Danio rerio: one gene and its partners. The protein of the gene in region 2 interacts with the protein of the main gene of each other region in a pairwise test. Links are inferred from orthologs where the notes say so. Each region holds a gene or a part of one and is shown on either strand. Other genes may lie near its edges.

Region 1 (6,333 bases), on a different chromosome or scaffold from region 2:
ACCGACGCAGGAAGTTCTCTATGTCCTCCCCTTGCTGGAAGACTGGTAACTTCGGCTCTGTTCGCATTATTGGCTGGCTGCCATACCTCAGGTCAGTAGGCGAGTCTCGATCTCTCTGGAAAGATGGGGGTCGTTGTGCTGTTGGCGTTGGCAACCCCAATCGTGGACTCTCTGTTTCACTCGACCCCTCAGCTGGCCGGACCGCTTGCAGAATTGACTCTTTAAAGCTCTGTAGCTCCGTTAGGTAACGCTGCTCCCGCTCTGCTTGTGAGTCAAGAAAGTCCCTCATTAATGCATACATCCCACCTCCAGTAGATGAAGTCTTTGCTTCAGGAGAAGAAACAGGTTTTGTGACTTGCGGTGATGTGGACTTGGGTCGAACGAGAGGAAGTTCCTCCTCCAACTCCGTCTCCGTAGACTCAGCTGCAACCCATGCCCCATCCTCCTTGCTAAGGGCTCCAGTCTGTGAACGAAGCCCCGCTTTAGGCTTCCTGCCTCTCGTAGACGTCTTGCGAGTTGCCATCTCACTTCTGACACCAAATGTGAGGTTTACGAGCCAGGAAGGCTCGTAGTGGGTTCTCAAAGGATATAAAAAAATGAGAAAACCTCTAAATGATGGCACAACTCGCTGATATAACGTGTAAAGTGATGGTTTATTTACAGTGTACGAGAGTGAAACCCAAAACCCAGCAAAGTAGCAAAACAAACAAAAATAAAAGAACAAATAAACAACAAACAAAATGATATATGTACAATCACAATAAAAATATACAAGTCACAGATCGCTTACGGCACCACAGTAGCTCGCTCGCTCGCCAGGTGAACTGACCCCGAATTGTTGTTTGAGGCTGCCTTTTAAAGGTGAAGCCCCACCCCCTTAACACAGACCAACATACCCTAATTGAAAGGTAAGTATAAACATCAGTACATGTTCTCCAGTTTAGTATTTAAAAACCATTAAACCCCAAACAGTCACAATTAATCAATGTTAACTAAAATAGATCAAGATATAAAGATATAAACATGAACATTTAAACACATAAAGAAAAGTATTAACCCATTCTCCCCCCTTCTTTAGAAAAGATTCAAAAAAAGATTTTGGTATGGAAAACAAAGCTAAATAAATGTCAAATTGAGATTTTTAAATTTATTTTTCCTCAAAAATTAAGCTTCACATTTTTTTTTTTTTTCTGGCATTAATTCAGGTCAATTTGATGTTCTACAATTGTTACAAATTTATTTTGTGATTTTAGTTAATTTTTTTCACAATAAACCTTTGCAGTGTAAATGGCTTGATATAATTATTTTGAAGGTTTGAACAATAAGATCGTATTTATTGTCTGTTTTATTATGTAAAATGTTTATTAGAAAAGTCAGTTCAACTAGTTTGTCAATGATACTTATAACCACGTTTGATTATTTGGTTGTAATGAATTGATTTTAGTAAGATTGTCAATGTTTGTGAAAGTTTTGATTCTTAACATCAAATTGTCCAAGTTGCCTAAACAAATGAAAACCAAAATGTATGATTTGTAGTGATTCTTAAAACTAAAAGTAATATGAATCTGCCACAAAATAAATTAATGACTAAAAGTATATATTTGCCAAATAAAATAGGCTATAGTTAATATTGAACATTCAAAGATAATACAGTAAAATAATGCCAATGTTGACAATATGACTCTTAAAAACATTAAACCAAGTAAATTATTTCATTTAATGTGAGACAAATTGTCGCCTCACAACAAAAATGTCGCTGTTTCTGTTTCTGTGTAAAGAAGCATGTTCTCCCTGCGTTCGCGTGGGTTCCCTTCGGGTGCTCCGGTTTCACCCACAGTCCAAAGACATGCAGTACAGGTGAATTGTGTAGGCTAAATTGTCCATCGTGTATGAGTGTGATTTGGAAGTTTCCCAGAGATGGGTTGCAGCTGAAAGGACATCCGCTGCATAAAACATACTGGATAAGTTGGCAGTTTATTCCGCTGTGGCGACCCCAGATTAATCTAGTGACTAAGTCGAAAAGGAAATTAATGAATGAATGAGACAAATAATAAAAGTTTTTGTAATTACAAAATCTAAATAAAGCTCATATTACGTGTTTAAATGATTTTTTTCCATTTATAACATTCTTCTAAATTTTTGGGCAATGCTTCAGGTCAATTCAATGTTCTACAATTCGTTACAAATGTATTTTTGTGTCCGAAGCAAGATGATAATTTAATAAAAGTAGTTTTAAAAAGAATAATAATAAAAAAAAGAGTAGTTTGTAAAAGAGTTTTGGTATCATTGATTAAATATCTGTGAAGCACCTCGAAATAATATTTTTTTAAATAAAGTTTTTTAATTATTATTATTATTATCATTATTATTAAATTCCCATAGACATTTTTGGCAGTCATAAACAGACTGCCGTCCTCTGGGTGTCGCTGTCCGGGCGCGCGCTGCTCGCACACGAGTTCGCCTGAGTTTAGCCAATCAAATGTTGTTTTCACACACGGAAAGACCCTTCACATTTGTAGAAGATGGCGACTGCTGAACCGGTGAGTTAGTGTAACTGCTCTCACAAACACTACTGCACATACTTTAACGGCGGGGTTTAATCTGTAATACGAGTTTTATGTCGACCAGGGCTTGTGTATAAGCTAATTTGAATAAATATTCAAGTAGAGACAGATTTATATTCCATCATACAGTCAAATGAGCTGATGCCCGACTGTCGCACACATGCGTTTGAAGGAGACTGTTCAAAAGTGTGAAATAGTTGATGTTTTCTCTGAAATGGAGGGCTGTGGGCTGCTTGTTTTTTCAGAGAGTTGAACGTGGTGTTGAAGCATCTCTGTTATTTAGACTCGTAGTTTGCTGATGTGTCAATGAAAAGTATGTGGTTTGTTTTTAGCCTCTGTATGGACAGTAAATGAAACTTAATATAAGTAACGTTACATATTGCGATATTGTTAAAGGTTAACTTTGTATACTTTTAAAGATTTTTGTAATATAACCTTTAGTTTGTGAGTTAATATTATGTGTTTAGAAAGATTCATGTTTTAGTGTAATAACAATGAGAAGGTTGAAACTTAATGTTCATTCTTCCTCTGGAGAAACTCTGTTTCAAATATGGGCAGTTTTCTTTCATTAGGGTATATAAGCAGCTTTTGAGAACTTTTTTAACTAAATAACTTTTTGAACAGAACTTATAAGGTTAAATGATTCATCTAGCACCCATAAAGAAATTTACTTGTTATTGTTTTAAGTATTTATACCAATTTTTTTATTCACCATCAGGATTTTGTTGAAATGTTGTTTTGAAGTTATTCAGTTTCTGGAACTAAAATGGTGTCATAAGTCTGTTTATTTAATTAGACTATTTGATATATTTTTGTAATTAAGGTAAAACTGTTTTTATATTTACATATTTGGACTTTCTTTATATAATTTCAGAAACGTATTATTTGCAAATTCTAAATAGGGAAATCAGCAGTTAAACTATCAAAGCACAACATTGTTCACAGTGAATTAAATAGTGTTAATGTTGTTTAGAAGTCATACGTGCATGCTAATTCCGATTGAATATTCAATGTAATATGGTAACCAATATAGACACTGCTAAATGAATAAATGTGTGAATTTAAACCAACTTAACCTCTATCAGTTTTCTTTCATTAGGGTATATAAGCAGCTTTTGAGAACTTTTTAACTAAATAACCTTTTGAACAAAACATATTAGGTTAAATTATTCATCTAGTAGCACCCATAAAGAAATTTACTTGTTATTTTTTTAAGTATTTATACCCATTTTATTTATTCACCCTCAAGATTTTGTTGAAATGCTGTTTTGAGGTTATTCAGAGTTTCTGAAACTAAAATGGTGCCATAAGTCTGTTTATTTAATTAGATTATTTTATATATTTTTGTAATTGAGGTAAAAAAGTTTTTTATATTAGCATATTTGGATTTTCTTAATATAATTTCAGAAAAGTATTATTTGCCAATTCTAAATGGGGACTTTATATTAGTAGTCAAGGACTGTATTAAATGAACGAATGTGCGGATATAAATCCAACTTTACCTCAGTATTTTGTAGCGTATACAGTGTGATCTAGGCAGGTGACGATCACCGTTTTCAAGGTATACCACGGTTTGGAAAAGTCAAGGTTTTAAAACTGTCAAAATTTTCTGTAATACCGCACCGTGTAAGATTTTTTATTTACTTTTTGTTTGTTTTTGAAGACAACAGTTTCTCAAGCTGGAAAGATATCCAAAGATTCATGTCTATGATTCATTTTCATTATATATCTTGACATGTTTACTGCTCCAGATTTGTAAAAAATCTTTCAAAAAATAAAATATATTGTTTTCAAAAAGGAAAAAAAAATTAAAGCAGTAATCGAAATACCGTGATACCTGGAAACCATGATATTTTTATCCAAGGTTATTACACCGTCAGAATCATATACCGGCCAATGCCTTGTCTGGTAATGTAGTGTGTATTAGGCAGAGCTAATGGAAAAGTATTAGTAAGTAATAGTGCTCACTTTAAGCCTGATAATACATTCCAGGGAGTTTGACCTGGCTTAGTTTTTAGTACTAGGACAAAACTTTGCTAGTGCTTCAATATGAAAATGCTAGTTATTTATGTTTAATGTTATTTACATTAGTGCCAAAAAGCTTTTGAAAAAATTTAAGTCCTTTTTTTATTTCTTCGACTCATTTAGGACTAGATTTTGTTAATAAATTCTAATATTTATGCATATACCATTATAACATGTTTCATCTGAAAGAGAATGCTTTTGAAAGTGGAAAGCCAGAGTAATTTTCTTATTATTTTCATTATTTGTATTTTTTGTTCATTTTTTTTTTTTTTTTTGTTAGGGCCATTGCTCACTCGTGGGGGCTTTTGTCACCCGTTTAGAAAGTCATTAACAATACAAAAAAAAAAAAAAAAAAAATCTGATTGCTCTCTTAATAGCGTTTTCTCATTTTAAAACAAAAAACTGCATAGACCAGTGGTTCTCAAACTGTGGTACGCGGGCTGCCTTCTAGTGGTACGCAGAGTAATCCGATATGCCATATCTACATGCAACAGATATTTAAATATTTATAAAAAATGACTCGTATATGAATATGATGACATATAGCCTATATTTATGAGGTCCAAGCAGCATTTCCAGGCTTTTATACTACAGGTGAACACTTTACATTTAAGTACAGGTGTTTTTTCTTTACTTTTTAAGAACAGTAGCCTACCATTTTTAATTAACTTTTAAAATTACATTTTAATTTAAACATTGAAATTTTATTTATTTGTTTTTTTACACATAAGCACAGCAGTGTTAATGTTCAAACTTTTTTTTTTTAAACTGCAGAACTGTAGCTGCTTAATTAGGCCTACTACGCTACTGTATTTCAATACTGGTTAAATGGTGGTACTTGGAGGGACAATTTTTTCTGAGGTGGTACTTGATGAAAAAAGTTTGAGAACCACTGGCATAGACTATATAAGTAATAAATAAAAACATGTTAATTAATTAGCTAACTGAGTCTTCTAATTTATTTCCATTCACATTTCATTATAGTATTTATTTCCACTCATGGCAGGCATGAAAATAGTAAAAAATATTGGTAAAAATATTGAATGTGAAACAGTTTGTCAGTAATTCAACAAATGAAAAAAAATGTTATGGGGACTTAAAATATTGCTTTTTACAATAGTTTTTAAAATGGCAAAATATGGATTATTTTCCCATAAAAGTCTCTCATTCAGTATGCAGAGCTTTAGATGCATATTTTGTTAATATAACAGTTGTTGTTTTCTATTTCTGTAGGAAACTTCAACAAATCCATCAAATTCAGAAGAAAAAAATGAGGAAAATGAGCAACAGATCGTGAGTCTTGAAGATTACATTAAACATCCACTGCAGAACAGGTAATGCCACCCAGGCCACATGTTTTATGTATTTTGATGTGATACGATGGCAAAATATCTAGAGGAGTTATCGTGCCCCCCCCTTTTTTTTCCTCAGATGGGCTCTTTGGTTCTTTAAAAATGACAAAAGCAAAACATGGCAAGCTAATCTCCGTCTCATCTCAAAGTTTGACACCGTGGAGGACTTCTGGGCGTAAGTATTAACTTGACACAATTGAAGCAACTCAAATAACATGATTGATAATATTAAAACATATGATAAAAAAGACCATCTGTTGCGTTTTATGTTTTCTTTTTTAAGTCTGTTATAAGTTTATAAATGTATATGTTATTAAAGCTCATAGCCTACCACAACAAATATTGTATATTGTAAGTATTTAACAGAAATTAGACTCCAATCTACCATAAAT
Region 2 (5,701 bases):
AATCACATTAGAACATAAGCCAGAAAGAGACACTACTGAAGAGATGTAAAAAATAAGAGAACCTTGAATAGTAGAGAGTCCTGTTATAGGACAGGGACTGAGAAGAGTGATTAAAAGTCCCCAGAAAGCACCTAATAACCTCAAACGTCTCTCAACCTTAGGTGTGATTTGCTGTGTACTGCTTCTCCCTTTAAAGACAACCCAGATATTCTGTGCCAATCACCCATAGAAACATGCAGTGCTCCCCATATCTTACCGAAGCCAGACCAGGCATGGTCTTTTCAAGATTGAAGAACTCATTGAAGTCAAAATCTCCAGGGGTTTGCTCAGGAAGCTCAGCATGTGGAACCTCTTGATCAGCTCCTGACTCCCGAACTACTTCAGGGCCGTCTGAAAGTCCACCATTGCATTCAACTATAGAAAAAAAGAGATTGAATAAATACAAGCCCACCGATGATCGCACTTTTGTTTGAGACCCGTTTCCTACAGCACATGCCTTCTTTAACGGACTCTGGCCTCTTCTTGGAACGTTTGGTCCTCCGTTTGTCATCCTCCAAGATTTTGTCATCAAAGCCAATGAGCTCAATGGTCTCAGACTGACTAGTGGGTCCACCAGAGAACCACTCTGGCTCCTCTTCTGCATACGAGTCATTTCTTCTCCTCTCACTGAACACTCTTTTGTCTCCAAAATCTCTCTGTAGAAGGCAAACAACATTGTCACTGTGCAAACACTACAGGAAATAGATAAGAACCTCTGCATCAATTTCTAGCACAATACCCTAAATCGCTTATCCTTGAAGTCACGCTCTCGGTCTCGCTCCCTCTCTTTGTCAACCCGTGCATCCCTTTCAAAAACGCGTGATGCCATGATGCGGCCACTGCCGATGCGTCGTGCTCCCCCCAAACGGAGAGACTCATTTTCTTTGTTCTCCAGAGGGCTGGTGGGTCGGCGAGGGAGGGCGGTTTGTGCAACTTGACAGCCACCACCAAAACTACGACGTTGCGGACTTAGAACCACCTCTAGATCATCATCTTTTACACGTTCCCTGGGATCTGAGGAAGAGAAAGATCATTTAAGATAAACATCCTCCAGCAAACGGGTTTTAATGGCACCTTATTTGATTTGATGAAGCTATTTGTTCAATTACCTGCAATTCTTCGTTTAAGTGGCACCCTATCGTCTACATAGTCTTTCTTGTAACCTTCTGTAGGACAACTGGACTCTGAAGAGGGATATAGTGAAGCATGCCATTTTTCAGGATCCCAGACGCCATCGCTATGAAGGAGACAGTACAGTTAATGCATAAAATTATAAAATAATATACAAGCCTCAGATAATTTAAAAGCCATTCTAAGATGTCAAAATATAAGCCACGTTTTAACAATACTTAGTAAAGTCAAAAGACAAATGACTACAGTAAGTGAATTCTTTTCAATTAATTGAGAGGAGCAGTTTGTTATGTGCTCCAGAACCACTGGTAAGATTAGGATAACACTAGGGGTCCATTCTTCATACCTTGCTTAAATGATCCAAGATGATTTGGCAGATCCTGAATCTTTTAATCTTGATATCTGATCTTTGGCTAATTTGGATCAAACAAGTTTGCGATTCAGATCAAAATATCTGCATAAACTGATCTGAGATCACTGCATGTATCAATCCTTGAAATCATGATCAGCAATACAACGACTGGCTGATGGCACAGCAGCATAATGACATCATCTGATTAATATTTAACTTTGGCTTTTTTTGTGGGCTGCAGGCTTTTCACATTCATGTGTCAAAAGCATTAGGCAATTTATTTAGCTATACATTTAAAACAGATTTTCTTTATTATAGTAGCCTAGGCCTATTCAAGTTTATTAATGAATTTTGATATCAGTTAAAGTCTCTGCAACGATCCTGGATTGTATTAAGTCATCAATAATCAAATCCAGCTCATGGAGTAATCCATGTAAAAAGATCAGACCCAAGATGTCAATGGCTAAAGCACGTTTCACATCACAAACGTGAGCAGAGCATGTTTTTTTTTTTTTGTCTCCATCTTAAAAGATTAGAGCAGCAGTGCAAGCGGGTGGGTCTATTTTTGCCGCGCTGCAATTAAAGTGACAGTGCATTATGACCAATGAATGAAAGTAGAAAGTAGCAATTTTACCCAATAAATGCATTAATAATATCCAATGATTTTATATATTCATAAAAATGTAATAAGTTCAATCAACTTAAATGATTAAACAGCAACACTTATTTATTTGGGCCCGACCTACAAAACATAATTTAAAACAATTTAGTACGAGTTTTGCTTAGTAAGTTGCAGACTAGTTTGATGATGCATGAATATCATAACTACATTGTATACATATTATGACTAAGCCTACAACATCCTGACAATCAAAAACAAAATGACATGTCACAGGCGATAGTCTTCTGATAGAGTGCACCTAATAAGACATAAATGACACTCCTCAGAGCACAACCATACAGTTCTTCAGGATATCTATAAATTTGTCAAATAAAAAGTTGCAGGTTAAGGAAACAGCATAGAAAGTTGTCGCAGGCCTTGGTGCAGATGAAATATTAAAAAGAAAATGATTTTTATAAGTGTGTTTATAGATGGGTAACTAGATAGAATAGACAGAGATAGATTGATCTGTGTAGTAGCTGGCGATGAGCTGTGCGCTGCAGATGCAGTCGGTGTGAAAGGCAAATGCCTGCAAGCTGATTCTGCGCTCCATACAAGCTGCACACGCGTACACGCTCTGCTTGCCCTTGCTGTGTGAAACGTGTAAAAAGCCAATGAAAAGATTCAAGTTTCAGTATAGGACGATTGTAGCCGAACTTTCAACTGATGTCCTTTTTGCAAACAGTATCCAGAAGATGGTTCCACACATGGTGTTAGAACAATTGAAAATAAAATAAAGTTTACCTGTCATATTTCTCTGACAGACATTCTGGCCTCTCATTTGAAATTGGCAATTCTTTGATTTCCATAAGCTCTTCCTGCAAAAACACACAGCAGATTAAGAAAAACTGAACAAAACATTTCAAAACTGCAACATTTAGTGTGCTTTCACACTAGCTTGCTTGGTATGCACCAAGATTCATCTGAATTTGTTAAAATGGATGCTTGCCCCAAACTTAAGTATGCTTCATTTAAAGGCTATATGGTTTGTGAAAATATGAAAGCAATCCCACTAAACTGTGGGAGCAAGGCCCGATGACTCCTTGATTCTCTAAACCTGTGGATTCTCACACAGAGAGAAGGCCTACATCATTTCTGCTTTCCTTCAGAAGATAAGGTCCCCCACTGCATGCTCTATAAATTGTCAAGTACACTGAAAGGAGAAGGAAAGTGCTACGGTATGCTCACACTTTAGATGCAAAGGGAAGGTCTCAGTTACAGTTGCTAAATGATTTTTCACTAAATTTATGCCAACCCACCTATTATAAATTGTTGGTGACAAAACGATTTTTTAAATTAGAAGTATGTTACAGATTTTCAGACAAGAACATATGTTGGCCACCCATAGTTTGTAAGCAGCAGAGCTTCTTGAGCACTGTCATGAAAAAAAATCTAATAACAGCATTTAAAATAAATTAAAACAATAGAAAGAAATAAAGTTAATTATAAAAAAGGAACCTGAAACAACTGAACTTCAATTAAAACTAACTAATCGATTCAAAGGGGCTTTCGATCTGTTATATACTGGGAGCCTGGTTCCACAAGGTCCCCTTAAGCCTGATTTATACTTCTGCGTCAGGTGACCGGCGTAACCCACGGCGCAGGCAACGCGCGTGGCTGTGCATTTATACTTCTGCGCGCTGTCTCTGCCGGTCTGCATTAACACTTCCGAAACGCTAGTTGGCAGTGAGGTGTAAATGTTCCTCTGTGTCAAGTTTCTTCGCTACTTTTTTGCATTTCCTGAACACTTCCGGGATGTACAAGTGGCTCAAACTCGCTCATTTTGAGGCAGGAACCGGCGGACGTGCAACAACTTTAACTATGAGGTAAACACAAAACAAAACTTTCCATCCGGAGCTCCTTCACGGGACTCCACACTTGTAAACAATCGCTCGCGCGGCGTCCCGCCATTCGCGCGCCTCTCGGTCCCGCCCAGACTCGTCAGCGCTACCAAGCCGACCAATCACAGAGCTTATGCTACGCGTCGTTGCGACGTGTAGTTACATTTTTTGAGAGGTGCACGTCAGTGACGGCGATGGCCACGGCGAAGGGCTATGCGTCAGCGCCGTAGCATACGCCGGTGTTTGACGCAGAAGTATAAATCAGGCTTTATTGTGCTGGTTGCATTTGAATTGACAAGGATGTCTGAAGTAATGACAGTGTACTCTTGTAATAAATTTTTTTTTTTTAACCTTGTAACAGAGTCATAATGCCAATGAAACTGACAGTTTTGTAGGATGCATGTAGGGCTCAAAAAAATTAGGCTGGTTAATCTTGCTTTTGAAAACTTGTATTGTCAACAGCTAATACATAACGATTGCAGAAAAGCAAGTCACCACAGTGCATTTATCAGTATCACACCTTTTTCACTTGCATGTACAAGACATTAAAGAAAATAGGTTTCTAATTTGGTTTAATTGAAGCCAAATTCAAAGCCATGCATGATTACATCATCCTTAATTGCGTAGTAGATTTTAAACTGTAAAATGTTACGAAAGTTAATGCTGATCAAAGTAAGTTGAACTAGATCATCAAAACACGAGGGCAAATTTGCTCCTCATGTGATTGTTGCTTTAAAGGACTGTTCTCACCTTGGTATACCTATAGGCAGAGGTCATTACGGAGTCCTTAATTGGGTCCACCAAGTTTTCACCATTTTCGTCCTTCTCCATGACTGTGGTGGCTGGTCAAACTGAAGAGAAGCCCAAATACCAGACGCTCTAGGCACCTGTCAGATACTGTAGTGTTAGTTTAACTGCTGCATCAATGTACTGCAACATTATTTGGAAAGATCTTAAACAACTACAACATCTTTTAAAGGTATAATGGGTTATATGCACAGCTAGTGTTTTCCAGCCAATGATGTACTTCCGGTGAAAAATTTGTGACTATTTTCAATTTCATGAGGTTCTTTTTACAGCAGCGATGTTGTAATGCTTTAATCTATTTACCTGATTATATTTGAAATGCATCCATTTGGTTATAAAACCATAAAAAGAGAGGCTGACATAAATGTAAAGTCTATGTGCATATACCCCATTCACTCCAAAAAAACAATATACGGTTTATTTATTCATCCTTAGGCCATTCAATATGAAGGGGACTTTTTCACCAGTAGAACATTAAAATATATTTTTAGTATTTAGTGATATTTCTATTAGGGATGCTCCAATCAATTGGTTGGAGATCCGAATCGGCCGATAATTACAATTCAAGACTTGTTTTTTTTTTTCTTTGTAAAGTTGCTTCTGAACGCTGCATGTATGCAAAATCCTTAATTTATTATCTTAGGTAAGGAGTTATACTCATACTTGAAGGGTAATTGTGCTTATGCAATGGTTAAGTTATATAAAGCTTAAAGAATTTGTATTTGTAATCTATACAAGTTGATCATTATTCTGGTTCTGATATCATGTTTTTTTTTTTTTACCTCTCAAATTATCATAAGCTGCTAACATGCATTTTATTTATCACCAGGGACAACAGTTCCAGGTAGGCCTGTGCAATTAATCAAAATT
Region 3 (6,295 bases), on a different chromosome or scaffold from region 2:
TGAATTGCCTCTCATTACAGTTATGAGTTTGATAACAAGCAGGAAATGTTCATGAACCAATGACATCACCTCATTGAAATGGTCTATAAGGAACAGAATATAAACTGAAACCAGACAATCACTTATGTATGTGTGTATTAAGGTAAAGTTGGTTTAATATTCTCACATTCAGAATTTCTTTCTCTCTCTCTCTCTCTCTCTCTCTCTCTCTCTCTCTCTCTCTCTCTCTCTCTCTCTCTCTCTCTCTCTCTCTCTCTCTCTCTCTCTCTCTCTCTCTATATATATATATATATATATATATATATATATATATATATATATATATATATATATATATATATATTAAGGGTGGAGCCGAACCCGAATACGGTATTCGGAAAGGCACGAATTGCGTGTTTTTACGAATACTTGATTCGAACAAATACTTGAAAAATTATTTGTATTCGGGAGCAAGAAAAACACTATCAAAAAGCAGCGTTTCCTCATGAGACCACAGTGCATGCCCGCGTGAGTGAGTGAGTGAGTGAGTGAGAGAGAGAGAGAAAGAGAGAGAGAGAGAGAGGCAAAACGCGCCAAAGCCCGAAACTGAAAGCGAGACGTGACTTTTAAGGGGTTGTTTCATATGGATTTATTAATCATTTTTACTGTTCAGTGATCGCAAACTGCCGTAGTTTATTAAAGACGCAAACTCCTCACTGCACGTCAGCTGCGCGCCTTCAGCAGACCTCCTCATTCCTGCAGCACGAGAGCTTTATGATTGTTTATGAGCGCCAAAAGTGGCGGATCTGTTCGGTGATATATCTGACTGTGTGTCACCGCATCCCTAAGGACTGTTTGGCGAAATATTTGACTGCATGTCACTGCATAACAAACGACTGAAAGGATATAACTAGAGAACTCTCCACTGTGCGACTGGATGTGAGCGTATGGCAAGCCGTTTTAGCATTTAAACCTTGTTCAGACTATCCATAAATATATTTAGAGATATCTCTAATTATATTTTGACTTGTCATAATTATAATTCGACTAGTCAGATTGGAAATATCTGCAAATATATTATGATAGACTAGTCATATTCCTCCATTGACTTCCATTGAAAAATATTTGCAGATATCTCTAAATAAGTTGACTAGTCACAATTGTAATTAGAGATATCTCCAAATGAATTTTGACTAGTCAAAAATCCAATTCAAGATATCTACAACTGTAATTAGACTTTTAGTAAATTAATTAGAGATATCTTCAAATATATTTGTAAATATCTCTAAATATGATGAATTAAAGATATCTCTAAATGTATTATGACTAGTAAAAACTCAGAGATATCAATTACAGTTGTTACTAGTCAAAATTCATCTGATTACGTATTAGTACAATTGTAATTGCAGATATGTCTAATTGTCATTCTGAGTAGTGGAATTATAATTATGACTAGTCAAAATATAATTAGAGATATCTCTAATATATTTATGGAGCCAGAACAAAGATTTAAATGCTAAAAAGGCTTGCCATAGAGAGCGCTTCTCACTAAACAGAGCACCGCGCAACCTTCTATGTAATGTATTATCACATGCACTAAAAGCATCCTAAAAGCATCAACACAGCCACATTCTGCCCCAGCAAGTCAGTTTCAAACATAAAAAAACAAACAAACAAACTTTGTGTCTTTTTGTGGCAGGCAGATGACAATAGCAGGGCTGTATCTTTTAGTATTATATAGAATACTTTTGTTCTGCCAGATCTCCCAGGCAGGGTTTTATTTAGATTTATTTAGTTAATATTAGTTTTTGGAATTCTGTCCATTGGAAAGAAGTTCTTTCAGAAGAAGAACAGTTTTTTGAAGTATTATTTGTTTTTATTCTGTCTATTCAGTGTCCTTCAACAAGAACGGTGGTGGTGGGGTTCATAATATTCACAATGGTATTTTATTAGTTGTTGGTTTAACCATGGATGAGATAATGGCTTCTATGTTATTTTCTTTTCAATGACATTTCTTATCACATGTTCAAAAACAACAGCCAATATTGCATATCTATAATTTATATAATGGGTATAATTAAACAATACTTTCACTATAACGTAAATTAGAAGTGTAATAGAAAAAATATATATTTTTGCGCCATTTTGAATTTCACTCGAATACAAATACAAATACAAATACTTTTCCCCCCTCAACAAATACAAATACAAATACAAATACCGGCTGCTCCGCACATCCCTAATATATATATATATATATATATATATATATATATATATATATATATATATATATATATATATGAGCAATTCCAGCATTATGGATGTGACATTTGCAGTAAAAACTCAACACATAAATTGACAGAGGAAGTATATGTTAACATTATATTGAAAAATTTGATTATATTTTCTAGAGCAACTAGCCACAGAGTTATGGGAGCAGAAAAATATCAATCTGTAAACATGTTTTGTACTTTAAATGTGGAAAATAAGCATGCGTTATGGGTGTGACAAAAAAAGTCTGCGAGTTTACAGTATACAACACACTTTGTAGAAATTATGTGAATTAAACTGCACAACCCAAAAGAAATAATGCTAATCAAAAGGATTTGAGTCGGCTCTCTATAAAACAAAAATGATTGGTTTTATTTTATTTAATATTTTCACATTTCTGAGGAAAAAGTGTTGTTATGCATGTGACATCTCTCTGTTATGGATGTGACGCATGTGAAATTACCATTTGTGTGACTTTGGTAAATCAAATAGTAATAGTTTGAAAACATTAACAGATGCTTTTTGAGTATTTTTAAAGTACAGTAAAATACTTGCCTACACAAAAAACCCAGAAATGGTTTCCGTATTTTGGTAAAAACTTAATTTTTTTTCATGGCAAGGTTGACATTTGCACAGAATTGCTCATATATATATATATATATATATATATATATATATATATATATATATATATATATATATATAATTTTGGAAAAGTATTTCTGCAAATTATAAATGGTAATATCATATTAGCAGCCAATGGCTATCGAAGTACAGCATTGTTTACAGTCAATAAATAGTGCTAATGTTGTTTTAAATTCATAATTTTAGGTAGAATATTCAAATTACCATGGTAAACAGGAATTATGTTAAAAATATATATGGAAATATAGGGTGCATGTAACAAATTGACACTGAATGAATGTCAGAAATAAAACCAACTTTACCTCAATTGTGTGTTGTGTATATAAACATACACATAATAAATAAAATAATGTACATAATAGATAAATAAAGGTACATATTTGTTTATTTTACTTGTGTTTAAAATGAAGATGAATCTAAATCTACTGTTAAACAGTGCACTAAATCAAAGCAAATACTGTATATAAACGTGTGTTCCACATACACATATAAACAATTCCACACATTAATATTACTGTAACACATTAAATAAATGTATCGTTATTAAACTAAAGACATACACACCACACGTTAATCTTTATATAATGTTAATAAACCCGTGAGTCTTGTTGAATGTATCTGCTTTATGTTTGTAATAGCTGAAGTTAAATGTTTAATGGAGAATATTAGCCGTTAGCCGCTAACTTACTGTTCAAACTGATTCATTCCGCGTTGTCGTTCCTGCTTCTTCTTTCAACGTAAACCTCGATATATAAATACGCTTTATAACTTTTGGAATAATTACTGTTATGTTAAACTATTAGATGTTAGTGTGTTTAATTCAACGGGCAGAGAATAAACTATACTACATGCTACACTGAAGCCAACCACGGTCACTGCGCATGTGCGGACGGCAATCGAGAAACGACAAAAAGCACAAACCGCGGAAGACTCGCTTAAAGAGTACACAAACATGTTGATTAAACACAACAAAACGTTGAAATAATCAACGGCAAACAAAACATTATGATAACAGCGTGGTCGAAGCATACAAATCTTTAAAAACAAATCAATTAAATCCGTCCGATTTGCTGGTTTGAGCTAAAATATACAAAATGCTAAGTCTTGTTTACAGTAACTCAGTGCTCAGACAAAAAAAGCCTTATAGCAGGCCGTAGCCAGTCTTGTGAAAGGGTGGTTCTTTTTTTTTTCTAAAAAATGTGGACTTTTGTTGCAGTCATTCACCTCATTTTCTATTTAAATACTTCAATAAGAGGCATTTTAAGCACTATTTTAGTTGGATTAGCTTGTTCATCTAACAACAACCTATTAGTATACACAGCAAGAGTCAGTCTAAAGGCACTCGAAAAATGTGGGGAAAATAATAAAGCCTTTACTCACATGACTATTTCCTAAAACTGCACCTACACGTTTTGATAACCCTTTACTTCATCAGGGTAACCTGATCACAGTTTTAAGTCACAGCCATGTCAATAAAGGCCTGTTACTATTTTTTCCACATTTTTAAGTGCCTTGGACTGATTTTGATGTTTATTCTGATGAATCCCTTACACAAAGAGCACTGACACATTATTTAAGCTACCCCTGAAAACTTTTAGTTTGATTTTGGAGATTTACACAGCCTAGTTAGTGTTAAACTTAACTTTAATAGGCTACTTTTGGTGCTTCAGACCTTATATTAGTTATTTCTATCTCTCAAGAATAAGGTTAAGATTTTAAACAAAAGTCAGGCTACTTGTAAAATTTTTTTTTTTACAAAAGTCGGTCAATAGTAAAAGTTGACTTCACTTAAATATTGTGCATTTTCTTAAAACCTTCAATGATTTATTTACACAGTTTATCATGACATGTCAAAATAGGTCAAATGAGAATATAGTGGCAACTAGATGTAGACATAAATAACTTTATATAATTAAAACAATATCTACAAACTGCTTAACTAAAGACGAAACAGTATAAGTTAAACACTTACTATAGTAAAGTAATTAATCTGTTGTGGTGATTATGGTAACACAACAACTATAGTAATATAAACAATTGACCCAACCCACATAGCAAAATTTCTCTGGCCCAGCTCTGGCCCACACAATCAGGTTTTGCTTGGCCCACATGCCGCAGTGAATTACGGTACATGACTGGACCAAATCTGGCTTCCAGACAAGGGCCAAACACGGACCATATCTGGGCCAAGTCTCAGCCAAGTTAATAACTCATAACTGGGCCTGAACTGGGCCAGATAGGTTGGTGTGTCACGATTACGATGAAATTGATAAACCCATGGAGTGATGCGCTTTAGGCACACTATGGGCACGCTTTTTCTCAGTGACCTGATTGGTAGAATTTTTTTTCTTTACTCAAAAATGATTTTAGTGTATTTTAAATGTGGGTCAAGACTGGCCAAACTCACATGGCCCACTTATCACATTTTTAAATCTGGGCCAAATACTACGTTTTTCATCTGGCCCAAATCTTGTGTGCCGCCTTAAAGACGGTGCCACCTCTGCCAAACCCGGGCCATGTTTGGCCCACATGCTGTATGCAAGTGCCGGATGAAAGCCTGCTGTGCCAGCTTTATGCCAAATCTGGGCCAGAATTCTTTGCTACTAGGGAATACTGCAGTCTTCGATTAATCTGCCTGCATGATGTTTTCCCAGATGATCTTACATTGTAGGTTACCCTCCCACTTTGTCCATGCCCCCTGCTGACATCACAGGTCATGTGACACCGCAACACAACCGTCACTCATTTACCAGCCGTCATCTCTCTCATAACTTACACTTGCTGAATGATTATTATTATGAATGTACGGCTTAACAAATCATCTATTTAAAGGGGAGCTGCTATGCCTGATTCAACAAGATGTAAAATAAGTCTCTAATGAGTGAGTGTGTGAAGTTTCAACTGAAAATACTCCACAGATAATGTTTATAACTCTCTGAAACTGACCCTTTTAGTCTTTAATCTTAATAGTGTGGCGTTTTGGTGACTGTCGCTTTAAATTCAAATGAGATTGTGCTCTTTTCAGAAGAGGGCGGAGCTACAGATGCCTGTGTGCCAGCGTAGCAACAAATTCAAAAACAAAGTTGCGTCCCAAATCGCATACTTATGCACTATTCTACGCCATTTTGTAGTATAAATAGTGTAAGTAGTGTGTTCACACTGAAAATTCTAACAATAATAAGTGCACTTTAATTACCCGGATGATGCACTCATTCAGCCGCTAAAATGAAGTGTGTAATAATGGACACTTCACACACTCAACGACCGCAGGTTGCTTACGTAGCGGAAGGGGCGGAGCTATCGGACGCACATGTTAAATAACTTAATTTATTTTGGACGGTGAAAGCAAAATTCTCCTACAAGAGTGATTATAGCGCCTCCCGATGGTGAATGCGGC

The links.
Region 1: the proteins of eif4enif1 (region 2) and eif4ea interact in binary tests that used the Homo sapiens proteins (3 or more experiments, as listed by UniProt). The link is inferred for Danio rerio from reciprocal best matches to the Homo sapiens genes EIF4ENIF1 and EIF4E.
Region 3: the proteins of eif4enif1 (region 2) and eif4e2rs1 interact in binary tests that used the Homo sapiens proteins (3 or more experiments, as listed by UniProt). The two-hybrid records come from large-scale screens. The link is inferred for Danio rerio from reciprocal best matches to the Homo sapiens genes EIF4ENIF1 and EIF4E2.

Annotation. Positions count from the first base shown.
Region 1 is NC_133189.1:48,178,072-48,184,404, reverse strand, and holds the start of eif4ea (eukaryotic translation initiation factor 4E-1A), read left to right. Parts: upstream 1-2,522; coding exon 2,523-2,540; intron 2,541-5,822; coding exon 5,823-5,923; intron 5,924-6,020; coding exon 6,021-6,116; intron 6,117-6,333. UniProt on the Homo sapiens protein: Acts in the cytoplasm to initiate and regulate protein synthesis and is required in the nucleus for export of a subset of mRNAs from the nucleus to the cytoplasm which promotes processes such as RNA capping, processing and splicing.
Region 2 is NC_133181.1:43,481,752-43,487,452, reverse strand, and holds part of eif4enif1 (eukaryotic translation initiation factor 4E transporter), read right to left. Parts: intron 4,912-5,701; 5' UTR 4,856-4,911; coding exon 4,775-4,855; intron 3,002-4,774; coding exon 2,928-3,001; intron 1,277-2,927; coding exon 1,149-1,276; intron 1,054-1,148; coding exon 779-1,053; intron 696-778; coding exon 497-695; intron 415-496; coding exon 257-414; intron 1-256. UniProt on the Homo sapiens protein: EIF4E-binding protein that regulates translation and stability of mRNAs in processing bodies (P-bodies). Plays a key role in P-bodies to coordinate the storage of translationally inactive mRNAs in the cytoplasm and prevent their degradation.
Region 3 is NC_133198.1:48,178,137-48,184,431, reverse strand, and holds the start of eif4e2rs1 (eukaryotic translation initiation factor 4E family member 2 related sequence 1), read right to left. Parts: upstream 3,812-6,295; 5' UTR 3,604-3,811; coding exon 3,587-3,603; intron 1-3,586. UniProt on the Homo sapiens protein: Recognizes and binds the 7-methylguanosine-containing mRNA cap during an early step in the initiation. Acts as a repressor of translation initiation.